Linked DNA regions of Astyanax mexicanus. The protein of the gene in region 1 purifies or fractionates together with the protein of each later gene. This does not show direct contact. Links are inferred from orthologs where the notes say so. Each region holds a gene or a part of one and is shown in the gene's direction. Other genes may lie near its edges.

Region 1 (7,244 bases):
ATGATTGTAAAAAAAAGGAAGGATATGTTTGTTTATAACCATTTATTAGCATTGTGTTATTATTGTGTTATTACATGTTATTGCAATGTTGTTACTATTCTGTTATTAGAGTGCTATTACCACATTATAACTATAGTGTTATTACATCTTATTGTTGGGTTATTACAATGTTATAATATTATATAAAATTATATATAATGTGTATTTATTATTGTGTTAGTACGTGTTATTGCAGTGTTATTATCATTGTTTGGGTACTGTGCTATTACAATGTTATTACTATCATGTTATAATGTATGATTATGTACTTACTGTGTTGTTACTGTGTTATTACAGTGTTATTATTATTGTATTATTACATTTTAATGCTTTGTAATTACTATTCTATTATTCCAGTGCTATTACCACATTATAATTAGTGTTATTACATCTTATTGCAGGGTTATTACCATTGTTATGGTGCTGTGTTATTACCATGTTATTACTATTGTTACTACATATTTTTTCCGAAGTTATTACTATGTTATTATGAATGTTTTATTAAGATGTTCTTAGTGTTGTTACTGTGTTTTTATTGTTTTATTAATATTATGGTTTTACAGTGTTATTATTATTGTATTATTACATATTATTGCATTGTAATTACTATTCTGTTATTACAGTGCTTTTCTACATTATAACTATGGTGTTATTACATCTTTTTTGCTGGGTTATTACCATATTATTACAATTGTGTGTTTATTATTGTGTTGTTACATGTTATTGCAGTTGTTTGGGTACTGTGCAATTACCATGTTATTACAAATGTATTATTAGTGCTATGTCATCACTGTGTTGTTACTATGTTATTACTATTGTGTTAATGTACTGTACAGTCATGAGGGCTGTTTAGGCTTAAATGGCTAGAATACCCATATCGAAAATAAATATATGTACATTTATAAGTACATTTTACATAGTAGATGAAAGCCAAAATATATTTTTCATCGTTACTGCAAGAGTTTTAAAACTATTTGAAACTATTTTTTACATATGAAGAAATAAATATCCATACAGTTTTTTTCTACTATATGGGTATGAACTTTCTTATGGAAGTCTTGCCAATCCTTCTGCACAGTGGAGCTTAATTTTAGACATGACTTTGATGCACTGAAATGAGCGCAGTGCCGCAGCCTGCAGTGCTACTGCAGCATGAACCACCCCTAGAGGGAGACAGATGTGAGAGATCAAAAGTGAAGCTGAGAGGAGGAGAGGAAACACAAGGGCAGATACTTACTGAGTAATAAAGTGGACGGCACATGGGGATTTGTAAAGGGATTACTGACTGAATCAAAACTGTTCTTTGGCCTAGGGCTACATATGTGTTTATTCTGAGCTCAAAGACCTGTAAAGCCTTCTATCAATCATAAAAGCCTTCAGAATAACCATAATATGTAACATATCTCTAAGTGGTTGATGTATTGAAACAAGATTCAGGGCAATCCCTTTATTTGACATTAAAATATTTCAACATTTCAGCTTTTGTTTCCAGGTATTTATATAGCTGAATCTAATACACAGTTTAGAAGACAGCACCTTTTACTTGAACCCAACCATTTTTCTTGTGAGAAAACTGATCGGGAGATCCTTCATCATGCAGCAAGATAATAACTCAAAAACACAATGTGAAAACTACAGAGGAGTTTATTAGGGGCAATAATTGAAAGGTTTTATTCCTATTAGATGTAGACCTATTCAATATTCAGATTTAAACCCTACTGAGGATGCTTGGAAAAGCATCACAAAAGAAGAATGAAAAAGTTAGTGAAAACTGCAATGGAATATGAAGTCGTATTCAATTTTATACATTTTATGTATACAAGTTAATACAAGTTTATACAGATATACAAGTTTATATGTTCCAAAACTTTTGCTTATAAGAAAAATGTATGTGTTCAGATAAAAAGTGTTATCTTATGAACTTTGTCAGATTAGATTCAGATGTCAATTCCTGGAAATAAAAGCACATATTACTCATTACATCATTGTTTATCAAACAAATTAATGAATGAATGAGCGAGGCTAGATGATCTCCAATTAGGATTTGCCTCATTTCCATCCTAAGCTCTTAAGCAAGTCAGGCCTACTTCATACCACCCCACAAGGTCCTGCCAACTGACCTGCAGCCTGCCCAGCAGAGGCCACAGTGTGGCCTATCTCCCCAAAGACTGCACTCTATGAAGAAAGGGAGCGCAGGCCTGTAATTGGAGCTTTGGCGTGCCATTCCCCAGGGTTTACACTTGTTAAATATAACCCAGGTTGGCCAGCTAAGCAAAAGGAGCAGGCAGAAGAGCAGCAACGAATGTGGGCTTGGCAGAGCCAGCACAGCTGCTCAATCCTGGCAGTGAAATGGCAGGTTAATAATGACTCTGCAACTCTTAGCTGATGTATCAGTTGAAGCTCTGATCTCTCAGGTCCAGCCTGAGAGAAGAATAATGCTCTTTTTCAGCAGAATTTGTAATATTCTAACCCTCTGTTTACCTTATCTTATCTTAAACTTTTAATTATTAAACACAGGTAAATAACATATAAATAACTTACAATTAAAATAATCTTATTCATCAATTGTGGTCATGCTTTTCAAACTGGTCAACCAGCTTGGTCATAATGCTTGACGGTAGTAGCCTGGACAATTTAACTGGTGTTCTATCGAGTTGTGCTACCTTGTCAAACAGTGCTTCCCTAGTGTATATTTAAGATCTCGTTAAACATGGAATCAACCGGAGATCTAAACTTATAGTTACACAAGATAGCTAAGGCTAACTAGCTCTGTAAACAGAAACTGTTAGCTCCTGAGCCGAAGTGGGCGAGGCCATGAACTCACTAGTATATATAATTCAAATGCATTTAATTATCTCATTCCCTTACATTAGTATCTTGTTCCTACGCTTTATTAAGTTGTGGCCACACCTTTATCTCATTCACACGCCATAATTCTCTCAATCTCACACCTGGTCATGGTCACGACACAGCTTCACTTTGACCAACATTAACAGTGAAGTGAGCCAGCTTATCAGAATAGCTGGTTTATCTGAGCTTTATGAAAACAGACACGTTAGTCTGAAAACTGTTTAACATTTTATGGCTAAAAATTAACCTTATAAACATTTAAAACACATAATTTTTGTCTTACTTTTTTCTCAACAACACTGTCAAACAAGTTCTGCTGGCTGCTTTAACTAACTAGTTAAATAGCGAACGCTAGCTAGCTAGCCAAGCAAGCTAACTAGCTAACTAGCATAACACAGCTGCTAGCATTACACAGCTGCCTAATTAATACGAATAAACACGTAATACATAACACGTCTGTTATGTTTAGCTGCTAACTAGCTAACGCAGGTAACCGCTAGCAAAAAGATAATTATCTCATTCAAATGCCTTAATTATCTTATTCACATGCTTTAATTATCTCATTCCCATGCTTTAATTAGTCGTGGCCACCCTTTTTTTTAACATAATGTCACCTCATGAAATGTCACACAAAACAAGCGCCTAAGTGAAGAATAATAATAGAATTATAATAAACAAATAAACAAGTCTATTAGGTTTAGCTGTTAGCTGCTAACTAATGCAGCTAACCGCTAGCAAAAAAATAGTCGTGGCCATGACTTAATTATCTCATTCACATTCCTTAATTATATAATTTCCACGCTTTAGGATCTCATTAACACTCTTTAATTAGTTGTGGCCACGTATTATTTTTTTTAACATAATGTCACCTTATGAAATGTCACACATAACAAGCGCCTAAATGAATAATAATAATAATAATAATAATAATAATAATAATAATAATAATAAACAAATGAACACGTCTGTTAGGTTTAGCTGATAGATGCTAACTAATGCAGCTAACCGCTAGCAAAAACAAAAGTCGTGGCCATGACTTAATTATCTCATTCGCATTCCTTAATTATCTATCTATACTTTAGGATCTCATAACCACGCTTTAATTAGTCGTGACCACACATTATTATTATTATTATTATTATTATTATTTTTAACATTGTGTCACCTTAGGGACTCCATAGTAAAGTGTAAAGTGAGTATACAGTATTACCACAGAGAGAGAGAGAAAGAGAGAGAGAGAGCGCGCGAGAGAGAGATAGAGCGAGAGAGAGAGCGCGAGCGCGCGCGAGGGGGGAGGTAAACAAGATGGCGACAGCCTTGAAGCAGCTGCATCAATAAAAGCTGGAGCGGAGAAATTGGTTATAGTGCTGGAGTGACAACACTAACAGCGCTCAGACCGAGGAGTTTCAGGTCTTGGCTTGTTAGTGTCCGCGTGCTGAGGTGAGACCCGGGTACAGTGGCTGCTGAGCGGCGGTTAGCTTAGCCTAGTTCAGCTGGATTCACTTACAGTGAGTGGGGCTAACTGGCCGGTTAGCCTGCTGCCTTACTGAGGTATACTGACTGACTGACTGCTCATTCCGGCCGGCCGGCCTGCCTTTCCGCCGCTGATATCTGTTTAAACCGCGCTTGTTTGGCTAAATGAAACAGATAGATAGCTTAATAAGCTGTGTGTTTAATTGCTAGTGGACCTTAATTGTGTGTGGATGTGTTTTAACCGGGTTTGACAGGCGGTTTGAGGGCTGCGGGTGTCCATTCTTCGCTATGCGGCCGGGAACTCGGGTCTGTTGCTTAGCTTAGCTTAGAATAGCTTACTTTGGCTAGTTTAACCATGAAGGATTAGCTAGCTTGCTAGCTAACACAGCTATCAATGGTAACCTTTCTCATTGAGTGCTGCTTTAAATCACGTATGCTTGTTTTATATAATTTGCAGACTTTTATAACATGAACACGGAGGGTGTAATGCATTTTAAGGAGCTATTTCGCTGTAGTGAAGAAGTTACAGTTAAATATGTCTCACATTTCTGTGCGACATTCAGGTTAGCTTGCTGCTAGGTAGTAGGCTAACATAGCTGGCTAGGTTAGCTTAGCTACATCTAGCTAGCTGGCTTGTCAAACTCTAGTTATCAAAGATAGCTAATTAACTTGCTAAATATATAGCTGTCAAACTTGTGTACTTAAGATATGTTGACAGTGTTTGTAGAGGTAGCTAGCTAAGTTAACCTGGATAGATTTAGCTACTACAGCTACTGTTGCTTTTATAGTTTTATAGTGATAAATGTCTTTTTTCTTTAACCTGTAGACCTTTAACTGCTTCAACACGTCATATTTATACTTGGCTAACTAGCTAGCTAGGTTAAGTAACCTATTAAATATCTGGATTATACAGTTTAAGTATGTTTTAGCATGGTCAAGTTGACGATGGTGATGGACAATCATATTTCTTAATTTAATTATTCTGATATGTTGTAAATATTGTTATTTGTATGCTAATGGGAACCTGCACCCACGTTTTTCACTCACCTGTGCACATGTACTGTGATATGTCAATAAATATCTTGAATCTTAAATCAACCTAGCTAGTAGGGATGTGCAATATTCTGTTCTTTGCATTATGAGTATCATAACATGTTGGAACATTGACTTCTGTTACAATCTGGTGTAAATCTCCAAATCATCTGAAACATTTTAATATTAATTTAGGCTATTTGTTATCAACTTTGATTGAAAATACAGCTATCCTATACTGGTAAACCTGATTGAGTTAGTCAGGCTTTTGTTTTCCCAGCTGGGGCTACCAAAAAAAAACATAAAAGCTTTGGAACTTTGGGCAGTTTCCCAAGACAAGAAATAAGCCTAGTCGTTTACTGTAGTAGTTTTTTTTTCTCAAAGGGGAAAAAAAATCTACATTTAAAATGCTGTGTAGTCTTAAAACTAGGCATAATCCTTGTCATCATGTACTCCTAGGCTTAAACTGTATAAACCCTGTTCAGGAAACAGTTTGATCTAAAGTGGTAACACTTAATTTGAGTAAATATGGGTAATTAGGCCTAGTCCTAGACTAGACTTAATTCCTGTCTAGAAAACCTCCCCTATATTTTATGTTGACTTATTTTTATCAATAAATGATTGTGAAGCATCTTTGCTCATCTGTTAAATTATGAAAGGGGTTCAGTTGTGTTTTTCTGTTTCTGATCCTTTTATTTCCTCTGTTTCAGGTTTTTTTTTTGGATGTCCTAAGACAAGCACTGTTTGCGGTTTGCCATAGGAGGTCATCCAGAAGAAGCTATCTACAGCATCTATAGAGTACACCAAAGAAGTGCTTGCTGGACCTATAAACACAACATTGCTGTTACTGGACTGTGAAGATGTGTCTTGGCTTGAAGTATCTGCTGCTATAGAGTTCATCATCCCATCCGTCGTGCAGAAGGAATAGACTGCAGGCCCAAGGCCGGATTTCACCTCGGGAACTGGTTTACTTTGCACTGGATATGTTGTCAGAGATGAATAAGGGCCCAGTCATACCAAATGTAGGCTAATACCAGCCTTCTTGTAATTGGACAGCATCTTTTGGACACTAAAAGGTTGGTGGTGAGTGAAGTGAAGGGTTCCTGTTTGGGTTTTCTTTTTTTTTTTTTTTTCCTCTCTTCTTTTTCTTTCTTTTTTTTTTTTTTTTACTCCTCTATCTTTTATATTTTGCACTGGACCTCCCTGGCTCCTTTCCCAGTTAAAACTCTGCTGAGCCCTCTTTCTTCCCCTCCTGGCAACGACTGCCACTCATGTTTACTGTCCCTCTGTATCTGAGCCTGTTTGAAAGCAATGCTGTTGCCGCCCTCATTCAGGCATGAATCATCTCTGATGCCGATCTAGTGAGTTCCTCTTCTCTCCCTCCCCACCCTCGATCAGACTGAATTTCTGGATTCAGACCCCACCCCATACTAACTGAGTTGCACCGGGGGGATTTGTGGGAGAAAAGAGTGAAAGTAAGCAAGGGGGTCACGAGAGAAGATGAGCGTCGGCGAGCTTCAGCATCTGGACTACCTGACTGAGAATGAGCTTATGGGCATGGACACTTTTATCCACCGCATCGACTCCACCGAGGTGATCTACCAGCCACGGCGCAAGCGAGCCAAGCTGATCGGAAAGTACCTGATGGGGGACCTGCTGGGCGAGGGCTCCTACGGCAAGGTCAAGGAGATGCTGGACTCAGAGACTCTGTGCAGGAGAGCTGTGAAGATCCTCAAGAAGAAGAAGCTCAGGAGGATCCCTAATGGAGAGGCCAATGTGAAAAAGTAAGTACAACATAAGTAGTGTCATCTAAGGAAAGTTGAGTGTCTGCATTTGTTATCATGCTCTCT
Region 2 (7,408 bases), on another chromosome or scaffold:
GCTATTGGCTAACACAATGGCTGGATGAGTAAACAGGAGGCTAAGCCACACAACAGATAAGCGAGGCAGGCTACCCTGAACTCCGCAATAAAAATGTCTTTTGTTCCGAAGCTCTAAAGCCTTACTCGCTCCGGCTGACGGCTCCGCCATGGACCAGCCGACTTACTTCCACGTTATGAGTAACAAGGACATTTTGTTCCCGGGTGGACTGTCGCTCCGGCAGATTTAGCTAGCTTGTGGTGTTTAGCGCTGGTGATGGAATCCTTTTCACACTCAGGGGGATTCAGGGGGTACAGACTAGCCCATATTCAAGCGTTGCACAATTTTACCCTGCTCCCGAAAACAGGACTAATTTTAACATTTCACCGCTAGACTGTTCTGTTCTGATAGATAGAAACTGTTCCGTTTGGGTTGTTTTTCTCTCTGATAACAGAACAAAAAAAATCACATATCCTCAGCTCCAGATTTGGGGACCCCGTGTTCTATACAGGTTTAACCATTCCCTTCCCGAGCACACCTGACAGTAGCTCAGCAAGGCTTTCATCATCTAAAATATAGTATGAATATTACATTTAATATTAATATTTATATTTTATTAAAAAAAAAAAAAAAAAAAAAAAAAAAAAAAAAATATATATATATATATATATATATATATATATATATATATATATATATATATATATATATATATATATAGTTTTGTTTTTGTGAACTGACCCCTTTTTCTGTTCGGTGTGTGTGTAAGTGTGTTTGTGGGCTATTATGAAATGGTTCTGGCAATAAATTATTTCAAGTGACAGAAAACAGTGGAAAAGCAGTGACAGCGACAGAACCCACAGACATTTACTTTATTTATTTCTTAAACGTATCATGAGGGATTCTGAGGTCGTGTTCTTGCATAGAGGAAATTAACTACCATGAGTACAACATGTACCACATGTTCCTCCCCCGCTTTTTACGTTTTTATCATTGCTATTCTGGGAAAGTTGATTCACGTTTATGTTTAAAAACACAAGCCACAAGGCTGTTTTTTCTGTCTTTTACAACCTTTAAAACCTTTTATTTCAGTTTGGATTTTTCATCTACTGTACTTCTGACCCCAACGTAAAGTGATTAAATTAGTTTAAAAGTGAAACGCTTTATAGAAAAATTTAACTAGGCTTTAATTGCTTAGTACAAGTTCATGACAAGAAAATACAGGTAGCATCCAGACTTGCAAACAGGGAATACACACACACACACACACACACACACACACATATATATATATATATATATATATATATATATATATATATATATATATATATATATATATATATATATATATATATATGAAAGATGATCCTTATCTGTCTGTATACACAGCAAAACTGAAGTCACTGTATTGTAGACAGATGGATATGCATGTAAACCACATGCATGCAGGTACTGAGATTAATAACAAAAAATAGAGCAATGCTTTTACAGGAAGCTTATGCTTATTTTTTATATTTGTTTATATAAAGTATTTATGTTTTAAGTATTTTTATGTGTTAAGTATTATTTTGTTCACATTTGTTTTAACATCATGAAGTAATGACATATTGTTACTTATTTTTGTAGCATGATGTACTACATGTAGAACTACAAAGTGTCAGTAATTAAGGGCAGAAATACAATTTTTATTTTATTAGGACACTCTCAGACACTGTCTACGAAAAGGTGAAGAGTTAAATGGGCTTTTAGATCCTAGAAAATGTGTTTGGAATGCAGTCAGGTGTCTCATTATAATTAGGTGTCTCATAAGTTAGTGCTACTGGAATTCTCAGCAGTCAACTGAAATGTACAGTATGTCATCATCCAAACAGATGGTCGTATTTGTAGGTGGTGCAGTTGCTGTATAGCCTGCTGTCAATTTTAAATATTGAGTCACATCCTGAAAACTAAACTGCTGTCATAGATTCCTTTAAATACTTCAAAGTCAGAGAAAAATAAACATAAAAATAATATTACACTATGATTTAACATAATAACAGAATAGTAGCTTTCCACAATCAGTTCCTCTCCAATTTGTTGTAGAAAGAATCATATTATAATTAAATTAAAGAAAATAAACATTAATTATAGAGGATCATTTTGTGTAAATAAAGATGATGTAAGACAGTGACCTTTACTTAAAAGTTCAAGTCAAAGAATAGCACCTGTGTAGGCCATGTTTTACACTGGGTGTGGTGTACTTTGCCTGACAGTGAAGACACCTCACTGTTCCTCATTACAATGTTTGACTCCTTTTATGAAACTGGCTGTAAGTCTTGCTCAATAACCACCATGTTCTCTTACACAGCACTGTTTTTCATGGTAAACAATCAATCAGTTAAAATCTTGGCAACAAACATGGATCTGATTAGCATGTTTAATAAAATTGACAATTGAGAAGAAAATCATTCTGAATGTTACCAGGTTAATTTGTTTTTAAAACACACACAGCAGGAGTCGGGCAAATGCTGATCTTTGGCCTCACTTGCACAGTCCTGGCAGGGTAATGTGCTGTTCTGAACCTGTGTCCTTGAATGGCTCTGAGTGTTCTTTGTTTAGTTCTTGTGTCATCCTTAATGAGCATTTTGCACACTAAGCCTTGTTAAACTGCCAACTGCGTGCTTAGGCATCAAGACTAGTCTGCATTTGATGCTGTTATCCTCAGTGATGATACGGTGCCTGCAGAAGCAAAGTGTACAGTTTCTGGCAACCTGACACTCGAAAACATGAGGCTCTGTCAAAGTGATACATTGGCATACAATATACCTTTTTATTTTCAGTGTATGAAGAAAAACAAGCTGATTCCAGACCATTCATTATATATTGGATTTGGGTTCATTTTTTATCACTGTCACGAACTTAGTAATTATTGCTTAGACTTTTTTTCACCACAATTAATATAACAGTGAGTCTTGATCTCTTGCAGGACAGTATGACTAAGAAGATCTTAAGGCAGACAGGCTTTGGATTTGAGGGTTATCAGCTGGAGGGGGAAACGTCATGTCTCCTGCTGCACTATGAGAGAACAAACATGTTGCAAATACAGGTATAACTGTGTGTTATTTAAGTTATTATAGTCAAATCAATAGCTATATAGCGGAGGAAGAGTAGTTTTATGCTTTGATAACATGAAATATGTTTACTTATTGAGCTCTGAAAAATAAATAAATGTACTTGCTCAACAGAATTAGTGGAGATTTGCAGATGGTATTTTTGTTTAGTCTAGTTGGCATGTACCAACCTATTTTGATCTACAGTGAAAATTTCACAATAGGCCTATTCACAGAAATCTGATTATTTTCTTGCAGGCCATTCCTGTTGGCACTATACACTCTGCTGCTTTTCCTTTCTTTGAGGCGAACACGAGCACTACGCTGAGGAACACAGGTGTGAGTCTTTTTACAGTCTTCTTATGTTGCCCAGCCACTCATATATATTTAATTTAACAAAGCGAAAAAGAGGCCAGACTGAGAAAGGTGTAAGGTTTAAAGAAAGAAAAACAACAACAAATAAACAAAATTATCAATAAATAAATAATAAAAAATATGTTTTTGAAAGACATAAAAAAAGCCTTTTACTAATACTATTACTGCTAGAAATTAAACTTTATCTGGCTATCTGGACTAAGCACAATGCTCGCGGTGTGTCCGTAGCGCACAGCAGGCTGCGTGAACACGCTGTTCCCTGCGGGAGTCGGCGCGTAACGGGTTACGGGTCAGGGTGTCTGAGCTAGGACACTGTGTTCTCATCACAGCGAGCTACAGTACAGCCGGAACACTGTGTTACTTTTGTGGTGGTGGAGAGTTTACAGGACCTGCCTCTCGGATTTTCGGCCACGCCCACATGTCTCGTCGCCCCTCCCCTTCCCCAGTCTACTCCATGTGGCTCTCCTGAGCGCTGTTGTGTTTTACACCCCACCCATATTCCGACAGGCCACGCCCACATTTGCTGGGATTGGTCAGTAGTCCATGCTAATAGAGGCACACACACACTGAGACACAGCTTCTAGAAGAAATGCGTGATTATTTATGTATTTTAAAGCTTAATCCTGCCAAAAAAGGGGATCAGCGTGTGCAGTCCGTCTTCTTTATTACACTGTGTTCCATTAAAGCATGAGCAGGAGTCTGGAATGGGGCACAAAGGGAGTATCGCACTTAATTTACTTAGTAAAAAGGAATGCAATGGTTGCAAAGAATAAAAAGATACATAAAAAAGAACGTGGACTGGAATAATAATAATGTGAAAAAAACACCGGCCAGTAATTTGGCCCGTTAGTGGACCGCTCGAGCGTGTGAAATACTGACCAATCCAGGCGCCGGGGGGCGTGGCTTCTCGGAATACGGGTGAGGTTAAGGTGAAAAAAAAAAAGACCCACGGCGAAACGTGCCGGTGGAACATTGAGTACTCTCGCGCCGGGAGGGCGGCGTCAGAGCAGCAGCACGCGCATCGCCGTTAAAGCGCTCGCGCTACATGTTGCACTCGTCGCCGGTAAGACTCAGCCAAAGTTACATGCGGATACACACGGAGAGACACATGAAAGGACCCGGGTACAAAAGAGAAATACTGTGAGTATTTTCCTTAATTTCATCATCCTTTAGCTGCTTCCACCACACCATCCCATCAGCTGATCATGTAAACACACAAGCTGGACTGAACTGTAATGGATAAAACGTTAGAACCATTAAATAAAAATCATATCATCATTATAAAATAAAAAGTAAAACAAAATATTACTAGTTGGTACACTTAACTGTTCTCTTTATTTAAACATAACCTATATCCATCTGTAGATGTAAACATATTAAGGCCAAAATGTATATATATATATATATATATATATATATATATATATATATATATATATATATATATATATATATATATATATATACACAGTACTAAATATCAGTCTTTTAGTTAAAATGATCTTTTATCTATCTACTTACTGCAAGAAATTCCAACATGTTATGTATATTATTGAAAATGCATTGTCATTTATGTCATCTGCTAACTTTTCAAAACAAAGAACAATTTAAACCCAACTTATGCACATAATTTTTTATGTATGACATAATTTAAAAACATGCACGAAGCTCATACATGTCCTGCTTTAAGCTGCACATACATGTACAGTTTGAGAGACTGAGGGAGACTGAGGCATCTTCTTAAACACTGATGAGAGGGAGAGAGAGAAAGAGAGTTCAAAACAACTCAGTAAACCCGTCTCTCTCTCTCTGTACAGAGGCTTATGTGGAGACACACTCTCTCACCCAGTGTCCCCATCATTAAAACTAAAGTGTTGCCTACTGTCTGGACCAAGCATTTAATTATAAGCTGTAATGTTAGAAGGATTCTGTAAATACGAGAGGCCAGATACTTTACTATGAACAAAGACTGAAATGTTACTGTTTAGCCTTGGCTTATCTGTCTTCCCAATGAAGGCCAACATTCAAGGATTTCTTTCTTAGACTTATGCAAGTGTGTGCGTATGATAATTTCCCCACTTTTTGCATGCAGGACATACCTGTTCATTTGGAACATTTTGTACAAAGCGGAGAGTAAAGTGACATCAGTGGAATGCTGTGTTTGACACGTAACAAATTGAGCCTTTTGTTTGAAGGCATATAAAGAAGAGTGATGTGTATGAAAATGGAGTGGAATGGAGAGAAGAGATCCACATGTGTGAAGAACATATGTGTCATTTTGTGTGTATCGGTGTGTATGAGGTTAAGCTGTTTTGCTGTTAAGCTGTTGTGTCTTGGTGTAGATGATGTGTTTGAGGACGAAATGAGTCAACAGCCATGTGTCTTCATCTTTGTTCGAGGAGCGTATGCTGAGAGTGAACCACACGAGTGAGAGCTGAGGTCTAATTCAATTATCTAATGAAGAATCATGTAAAGATGCAATGACCTGTATAAGACTTGCTCATGTAGGTTAACACAGATTTCCAGAAAGTAATTGGTAATTGTGCTTACAGCAGTGAGAGAAGCTATTAGGTGTGAGGAATATATATTGAAAAAATAGCCATTAGGTATATGTATATGAGAAAATGTAACCTCTAATGATATACTCTGTTATATAATACATATATTACTTAATTTATATATATTTAATTAGAATATATTGCAAATATTTAATCATTTTTTCCCAGGACCAGATACTGTAGACCTGAATTCAGCTCCTTAAATGTTAATACTGCTAATCCATTCACAGAGCAAATATTTAAATTTATATACTACATAAAAAGACAGAAGTCAATGCTAAGACTGATATTTTTTCTTTGCATATTCGCTAATCAATCACCACCACACACACTAAAAGCTATTTAAAAAAAAAAAAAAAAAAAAAAAAACCAATGCTCACTGGTTATGCAAGACCATGTGATTTTTTAATTGATGAGTGTTAATTGAAGATTTATCAGCTTAAATTTTAGGTACATAATTGAGAAGCTAACATATAATGCTGTATTCAAAATCATCATGCGTCACGTCCAGAGAGCACAGTGGCCACGTCTGAGTTAAAGCTCAGTACTTTCATATGAGTGTGTATCTTCATTTCCATGTGGTTTGAATTGTATTTTGCTGTCATTGTTATCAGTTAAACATATGTATGAATGGGGTGTTTCCACATATATCATGGTACATGTTTTTGCTTTATTTCCTCTATGTGTGTGTGCATGCGTGTGCGTCTGTGTGTGCGGATAAACATTAAGTTCTTTTGAGCAAGAGCCTTGAGTCATAGTGTGTATCTTGCAGGACTGGACTGAATGTTCTCTTCTCTGATGTGTTTTTGTTCCTACATCTCTCTGGTCAGTCCCTAGACGTAATACTCACGAGACACTCATCTTCACTCAATCTGCGGATTTAAACCGTTCAACCTAATTAGCCCCCAAACAGCATCGTGGATGGACATAATTACAGCACCAATTACGCTGCTGGCTTTTGTTTGAGTTGATAGATCATTTTAGGGCAGTGACCAGTGATCATCACTGTCCAATAAAAAACAAATATCTCTAATTTAGTTGATTTTTAGTTTACTACATCATTTAAACACACTAATCTTTTCACTGCGTCAAAATTTCTTGATGAATAGACCAATATTAATGATCCAAAGTTGCATGAAATTAACTCTTTTTGCATTGACTTCCATTGAAATTTAATAAACTGTAAAGTTGCTGTTTTAGAGATAGAGATTGTTTTTCAGTGGACAGCGACAAGATAGTCTTGGGAAATAGAAATCTGAGATCAGAGATGTCTCATGGTTTGGTGGTGTAATAGGTTAACCTCTCTCTTCTGATCGAACCTACTAGGTTGAAATGTTTCTGTGTTGCTTTACCACTCAGAAAACTCACAGCCTGAAGATAAGATCTTGTTTTACCGGAGCATGA
Region 3 (7,770 bases), on another chromosome or scaffold:
ACTAGGTGCTTATTTGGCGAATGGTGCGCTATTAAAACAGACACCGTTTTTACTTAATAACTCTCTGCTTGTGTGGATTAGGAAATAAACCAGATTAACATTAACAGGGCTGTAAAGGGGGATGAGCTGTCAGGGCTGGCTAATATTTGTGTGGCTAGCTTACCTACCTAGCAGGGTTAGCTAACCTAACATTAGGTTATAGGTTTCAGTACATAAAACTGTAGGAGCCAACAGCCTCTGGCTAAAGAAACACGGACTGGTTTGCTGGTAAATTCCTGAAATTTGATCTTAAAACTAACGCTAACTTCCTAGCTAGTTAAATAATTAATTCTATAGCTTAACCAACCTGACGCTATATCTAAACGCAGTAACGTTAGGTTAGTTACCAGAGGCTTTGTTTTTCTAGCTGTTTTAAAGCTAAGGGTCTTAACATATATAAAATACGGTGCCTGTGAATGTTTAAAGTATTATTTAAAGGCTTATTTGGATGTAATCTTATGGTATATACGGTTTAGGTCTCTTTAATCAGCTCAGAACTAACAAAAAAATTACAGTTTGTGTCCTACCTCCTCTCTCTGTGAGTGTGAGTGCTGGTCAGAAAGGCGAGTCAGGCAGCTAGCGTTAATGTTTTTCAGCAGCGCTGCTCCTGTTTAAATGACATAAATCGCGACATTACTCTGCATTCTCTGAATAATCATTAGTCGATATAAAAGTACACATATCCAGGCTGAACAGGGCGAGGTGTGGTGATGAAGAGCCCTGCGGAAAGCGGGCAGCGGGGCTGTGTTTCTATTTCAGGCCCGGGTTGGATTTCGAAAGATCCGCCATTTTCAACTCGTCATCAGTTCATTTCCAGACGCGAGAAAAACAACAGCGGAGCGGCTTGGTGCGTTTTGGGTGGGATTTGGTTAGTTTTGGTGGGTTTTTAGTGGGATTATCGTGGAGGTAAAGAGTTTAAAAAGCATATTCAAACGTGCAAAAAATATATACATAAAAAAACAATTACAATAGTTTATTTGCTAGTATGCAGAGTAGGTGTGGTTAAAAAACGTTAAAACAAAAACGAAATATTGCGAAAATAGCAAAAATGTTCAGTTTATTTGCACTTTTTGTAGTTTAATAATCTATAAATAATCTGCACATTAGTATTCTTGTAGAGTTTTGTTGTTATATTACTTTATATTGTTTCATACACAATCTGGTTAAAGTCTGGGTAAGTTATTACAGACAAAAGTTTAGAGAGTTGTTTTTCTACATAATGTCTTTACATTTATAATAAGTAAAATATTTAAAAAATAATTTAACAAAAAAAAACAATGTTTGCTCATATCTGCAAGAATATCCTTACTGCAAAAATACCCTAAAGAATTGCAATGTTAAGAATCATAGGGCTGCAATGATTAGTCAATAAACTCGATAATGTTGATTTGACTACAAATGTTATTGTCGACTAATCGTTCATTTGCAACAGTGCCGTATTACACAAGTGCTGGGGACAGAAACGCAATGGGAGATGGATAAATGTCTCACTCAAACAGTTTATGCTCAACTCCAAAAGTGCCCAAACACAACAGATTACATACTTACTCACTAAGTGTCAGTATCTTTTTACATTTATACAACATTTAGACACGTAAATTCCTTTTAAATCTCATGATCAGCTGTTTTAATTGTTTTTAGAAGTGGAGGACATAGCAGAAATATTTGTTGACTAATTGAAAAAAATAATTCAGATTAGTTGAATACCATAATAATCATTCGTTGCAGACCTAAAAATTTGTGATGCACAGCATCGGTTCTGCTTAGCACTAGCTACAAAACTTATTATATTTTATCTTGATTAAAATAAGCTTGATTATTATTCAAACCATAATGCATGCTCTTATTGACACATATTTTGCCGCATGTTAGCATATTTTTAAATGCCAGGTGATTTCTTTAAAAACACCTAATGCCAGCTATTAATCTCAAAATACATTCCACCTTTCATCATTAATGCATTGAATCAATGTTATGGTTTGCAGTGAAGAAAAGTGTTGAAAAGCTCATCTGCTCAAATATTTTAAATCTTAAATTACCCCTTAAGCAATGATAAATAAATGTTATTTTAAGGTTGTTTTTTCATTGTCAACCTTAAAAGATGTAATGCAACTAAACTTGTAAGTTTATTCTGTTAAGCTACCAATACAATCAGTTTACAGCACAAATAAAAAAAATCTGATTCTTCTCAAGCTCTAACCTAGTAACATTATAGTTATTTTAATTAATTAGTTAATCAATCATAATAAAAGATCAATAAAAATAATTGCCTCGATTTCACACTATTAAGGGGTTAAAATGTTATATATTACATTAATTAAATGTAATATAGCCCTCCTGTTTCAGAAAAAACACATTAACTAGCTATAGCTAACTCACTAAATAGCTGCTGTCATTACTGTCAACTCAGCTAAGCTAAGCTAAGCTAGCTAAGCTACCAGAAAAAATGTCACAATTTCCTCCCTCAATTAGACTGTAAATTAACTGATATATACTTATATTATAATCGTATAGTCCTATAACATTAATCAGTGGTCTGCAGCTCTATTTTGAGCCACTTCTATTCAGGGTGTCAGCAGTTTTACAGCGAAGCCGCAGCTGAACAGAAAGTCCGCCCTGCTGAACCTAAACAGCGCATATCAGCTGTTAGCTCGGCGGCTAACCCGCTCCGATCCCCCCAAACCCGCAGCTCAGCACCGGGAATCTTACAGTTCTATTACGGTCGCTTCCTCGGGAATGTGGACGCTTGTCGCCGTGTTCGTGCACGGCCCAGTCCGGTCCGGTACAGCTGGGCCCCGCACCGCTTTTCTCTCGCTACGTTTCCCGAAACAGATCCGATTGTTTAAAATACCGCGCCGAGCGCCATTTCACCCCTAACATCCCATAATGAGGCTCCGCCTCCATGGGAACCCGCGTGTTACGTCTACAGGGAACGCCCGCGCGCAGGAGTTGGCTCCTTCTAGTGTCTCATCTTCCACGCTACTCCCTACGCCCTACTCCCTACAACTACCAACCATATTCTGCTCACTATTCACTACACCCTTTCTACTAACTACACAACACTTCTTCTACACTATTCCCTACTCCCATATACTGCTCACTATACACTACACCCTATCTACTAACTACACCAAATAACTACACAACACTTCTTCCAAACTACTCCCTACACCCATATACTACTCACTGTACACTACACCCTATCTACTAACTACACTAAATAACTACACAACACTTCTTCCGCACTACTTCCTACACCCATATCCTGCTTACTATACACTACACCCTATCTACTAACTACACAACACTACTTCCACACTACTCACTACACCCATTTCATTGCTTGCTTTACACTACACCTATAACTACTAACAATACCATATACATACATACATACATACTTTTTTACATTACTCCATGCACCCAGTGCCACATATACAACTGCTCCCTACACCCTAACTACTAACTACAGTATCTTCCAAACTACTCCCTACACCCATATACTGCTCACTATACACTACACCCTAACTACTAACTACACCATATACACAACATATCTTCCACACTACTCCCAACTCCCAGTGCCACATATACAACTGCTTACTACACCCTAACTTATAACTATGGCATATTCATAACCCATCTTCCACACTACTCCCTCCCTAAACCCTAACTAGTAACGACTCAGAGGACCAATCACAGCTGCTGCTGTCCGCATCGCACAGTGCACTGTTACACTTTTGGGTAGGGTCTGCATAGGGTATGGCATAGGTTTGCTACAGAAATATAAATTGGTCTTTAAGAATGTGAGGCCATCTGTACAGAAAACTACGTGAATCCTCACACAGCAGAAAGACTTCTGCATGGAGGAGTGGGAAAAACATTTCAAATTTCATTGTCAGGCAAATGGGGATATACCGCCTATTATTTGGGAGGTAAAATGAAATGTCAAAAAGCTATTTGCCATTTTAGTTAAGTTTTTTTTGGCCGGGTATGAAGTGGAATTAGTGCCAAACTGAAAAGCAAACACCAGTGTGAAAAATTGTAAAATGCAATCCAGATGTATAGGGGTCATACCTTTTTCCTCTGAAGACTTTTTTTTTATTTAGTTTATATGTTTAGTTATATTATAGGTAGTTATGAGTTATTTATGAATTTAGTATGAATGTGCATATTTGAAATTTCTGCTCCTTGTTATTAGTTTGGCAAATCTGTTGTATTGAGTTGATATGTAAGAACTAAAAAATCTAATCACTCATATATATTTGAAGAATATCGAAAATCGATTTTATTATTTTACCATATCGCCTAGTCCCTGCCACCATCGGGTAATTGATTGGAGGGCCTGGTGTTCTGTCGAGTTATGTTACCCATCGATATATGCTTCTTAAAGGTACTGCGCATGCGCTGACCTACTTTTTTACTTTTACTTTTTGATCTCGTGTTTTTTTTATATAAAAAATATATTATTTGTTTTCTTGGACTCACTGTCATTGCACAAAAGTGTGAATTAAAATTATTAATAATAATAAATACAATAATTATTTTTATTAAAAAAGCTTTCATTGCCATAACCTTAACATGATATAGTGATTTATGCTATCCAAATACATATACTAGCCAGCGACATCTACTGGGACTTCTACTGTGAACATGCTGTAATATGGTGCTTCTTTTGTATTTTTACAGTTAAATATACACGAGGGTAGCACGGTTTGACAAGATAGCACAACTCGACAGAACACCGGCCATTGGTGGTGCTGTACCCCGTGGAGAGTGCGCTGCCCTTCGGCCTGTCAGAAATCAGATCTCCGCGCTGCTGGTTGTTGTGTATTGGGGAAGATGGCGTCCGGTGTGCGGCAGGAGCTCGCCCAGCTGATGAACTCCAGCGGATCTCACAAAGACCTCGCTGGAAAGTACGGATTTCTACTGCGGCTTTTATTTATTATTCCCTTATGTGCAGATCCAGCCCAGCAGCTTTATTACAGCGGGTTTAATATAGCTAATATAGATCCAGGACGTGGCTAGAAGGTGCAGCTACATGCTAGCTAACTCGCTCATGCTAACTGTAACAGCTAACTGTAGGAGCCTGCTTATGCTTATGCTAATGCTAATCGAGGAGTTAACTAGCTAGCTACCATAGCTAAGCCGGTGAGCTTATTTTTTTTTAGAACTCCGACTTTTGTGAAAGCTAGCTTTTACAAAAAAACATATTATATAAGCTTTTAATAATCGTTATACTCGGACACTTTTTGTTTATTTTATTACAGTGTATCTGCACCTAGTTAACCACAGACCTATCTGCATGGTTGTTAGCTTGTTAGCATGCTAAGCTAAGTAGCTTTGTTGATTCTAATTCTGGCTAACGTGCAATATCTATATAGTCTATAAAGATTTTAATAAATTAATATTTGGTGCAATAACCTGTTTTTTAAATCACAGTTTTCATGCATCTTGGCATGTTCACCTCCACCAATCTTACACACTGCTTTTTGATTACTTAATGCCAGTCCTGGTGCATAAATGTGGCTTGTGATCATCCATGGATGGCTTGTGATCATTCATCTCTTGATTATATTCCAGAGGTTTTTAACTTGATAAAATCAAAGAAACTCATCATATTTAAGTGGTCTCTTGTTTTTCCCAGAGCTGTGTATATTCACTAAGTTAGTTATATAGTTAGATAGTTAGCTAGTTGCATAATTTGTATGCATCAACATTGATTCAGCATTGAAATGCCAGCTGGAAACCTCAAAGTAGCTCCGCACTTTATTGGTACAATTCTGACATTTAAAATGAGGCACTGAGAGCTTTAAAAGTGTACAGATAAACAACAGCTGATAAGCCAGTATATTGGTTTTCGGACTGCATTTTTAATGTATAATATGCATTTATTGTAGGTATCGTCAGATTCTGGATAAGGCAATACAGTTCACAGATGCAGAACAACTGGAGGCACTGAAAGCATTTGTTGAAGCCAGTAAGTATTCCAACACACATTTCATTAGAGAACACCTTGTAGCTTTAAATGGTCTTTTCACAGAAGAAGGACAAACATTCTCAGATTTAAAAAGAGTCATTTTGGAGCATTTCACTTGAAATGCAATAACACTAAACGGGAAAAAAGAGAAAAAAAAATAACAACGTGTGAAAGGGTCTGCAAACAACAGATCAAAGAGTCCAAAGGACAAAATATACTGATTAATGGTTTGGTCCATCTTCAGTGTGTAAACACTTCTAGATGGTTTCAAACGTTTGGACCAATTACTGGAAGCTGAGGCAGAACTGGTGTTGTGCTGAAATGCGTGTCATTGGCGTGCAGGCACGTCATGCAGACACATGGATGCAAACACTTTCGCTGGTGATTCCAGTATCTACTGTAACTGTAGATTAAGCTTTATTTATAAACAGAAATGAAAGCAATCCGAGGGGAATCTTTTATCTCTGCGATGGAGAGTTCAATTCTGGTAGAGAGGTAAACTTTGGCACAGCACCTGGAAAAGCAGTTCACAGAAGTAACAACATTCTACAAACTAATTAATGTGAAGTTTAGGGAGATTTACTACAAGTAGGTGATGATGACGGACCATACTTAAACTAACCGGACCATACGTATCTAATGTAACAAAAACGCAAACCTTGGTGTGGACTCTGCTCTGGATTTTCAGGTGTTAAACACCCTTAGCTGTTATTTAACCTCTGGTACACCAAGTTTATATATTTCTCGCTGTGAGATGTTTCTGTTGTCTTCTTCCTCTGCAGTGGTCAATGAAAATGTCAGTCTGGTGATATCCAGGCAGCTACTCACTGACTTTTGCACACACCTACCAAATTTACCCGACAGCACAGCTAAAGCTGTCTACCACTTTACACTGGAGAAGATTCAGCCAAGAGTTATCTCCTTTGAAGAGCAGGTGCGTTTGGACAATTATACAGTACTGTGCTCAAACATGCACACTCATGTTGTTTTCACCAATATTTATTATATAATGATTATACTTTGGTTAGCAAGAGTGCTACATTAAACCTTCCTATTTCTTTCAGGTGGCTTCAATCAGACAGCATCTAGCCACTATATATGAGAAAGAAGAGGACTGGAGAAATGCTGCACAGGTTTTAGTGGGTATACCTCTGGAGACAGGACAGAAGTAAGTCAGTCTACCTTACCTTTGAATTGATTTTTTTTTTATTCCCATGATCTGTGTGTCATTTGAAAAGCAAAACCTTAGAATTGAAGTGTTGATTAGTATAATATTGTTTAGGATAAATACAAATACATTTCTTTTTTTTACATAAAAAAATCTTACATTTACAAAAAAAATGTGTATATTAAAATAACTCCAAAGCTCTTCTCAAGATGAGAGTCTTGTATTATTTATAGACAATATCAACACATCTACACTTAGTTTGGTAAAACAGTTGAGCTACTCACAGAATTGAACACATCCACTGTGGTGCTGGTTGGGGGCATCCAGGAGAAATCTGGTAGAATCATTGTTCCTTAAAGTAGCCCACAAGATCTCTACTACTTTCTTCAAAATGAGAAATTCTTGTTACATTTTACTGAATTAAATTTTCTGTGAATCATTTAGTGGCAAGATGAACTTAAATATCGTAAAAATATAAGGGATTTCTTCTGATCACTGCTCCCATGTATTGTGCCTTGATAAAAACGTAGTCCAGTCTGAAATACTCAATATGTAAATGCAATAGTTTTATGGCATCAAGAAA

Evidence for each region.
Region 2: the proteins of stk11 (region 1) and fkbp5 purify together in Homo sapiens (affinity purification with mass spectrometry; 8 studies listed by BioGRID and IntAct, counting the BioPlex papers as one, with this or other methods). This does not show direct contact. The link is inferred for Astyanax mexicanus from reciprocal best matches to the Homo sapiens genes STK11 and FKBP5.
Region 3: the proteins of stk11 (region 1) and cops4 purify together in Homo sapiens (affinity purification with mass spectrometry; 4 studies listed by BioGRID and IntAct, with this or other methods). This does not show direct contact. The link is inferred for Astyanax mexicanus from reciprocal best matches to the Homo sapiens genes STK11 and COPS4.

Annotation. Positions count from the first base shown.
Region 1 is NC_064411.1:47,654,023-47,661,266, forward strand, and holds the start of stk11 (serine/threonine-protein kinase STK11), read left to right. Parts: upstream 1-4,171; 5' UTR 4,172-4,329; intron 4,330-6,104; 5' UTR 6,105-6,894; coding exon 6,895-7,178; intron 7,179-7,244. UniProt on the Homo sapiens protein: Tumor suppressor serine/threonine-protein kinase that controls the activity of AMP-activated protein kinase (AMPK) family members, thereby playing a role in various processes such as cell metabolism, cell polarity, apoptosis and DNA damage response.
Region 2 is NC_064412.1:16,106,373-16,113,780, reverse strand, and holds the start of fkbp5 (peptidyl-prolyl cis-trans isomerase FKBP5), read left to right. Parts: upstream 1-4,397; 5' UTR 4,398-4,491; coding exon 4,492-4,586; intron 4,587-7,408. UniProt on the Homo sapiens protein: Immunophilin protein with PPIase and co-chaperone activities. Component of unligated steroid receptors heterocomplexes through interaction with heat-shock protein 90 (HSP90).
Region 3 is NC_064427.1:22,631,409-22,639,178, forward strand, and holds the start of cops4 (COP9 signalosome complex subunit 4), read left to right. Parts: upstream 1-4,762; 5' UTR 4,763-4,881; coding exon 4,882-4,955; intron 4,956-5,939; coding exon 5,940-6,019; intron 6,020-6,801; coding exon 6,802-6,953; intron 6,954-7,083; coding exon 7,084-7,187; intron 7,188-7,770. UniProt on the Homo sapiens protein: Component of the COP9 signalosome complex (CSN), a complex involved in various cellular and developmental processes.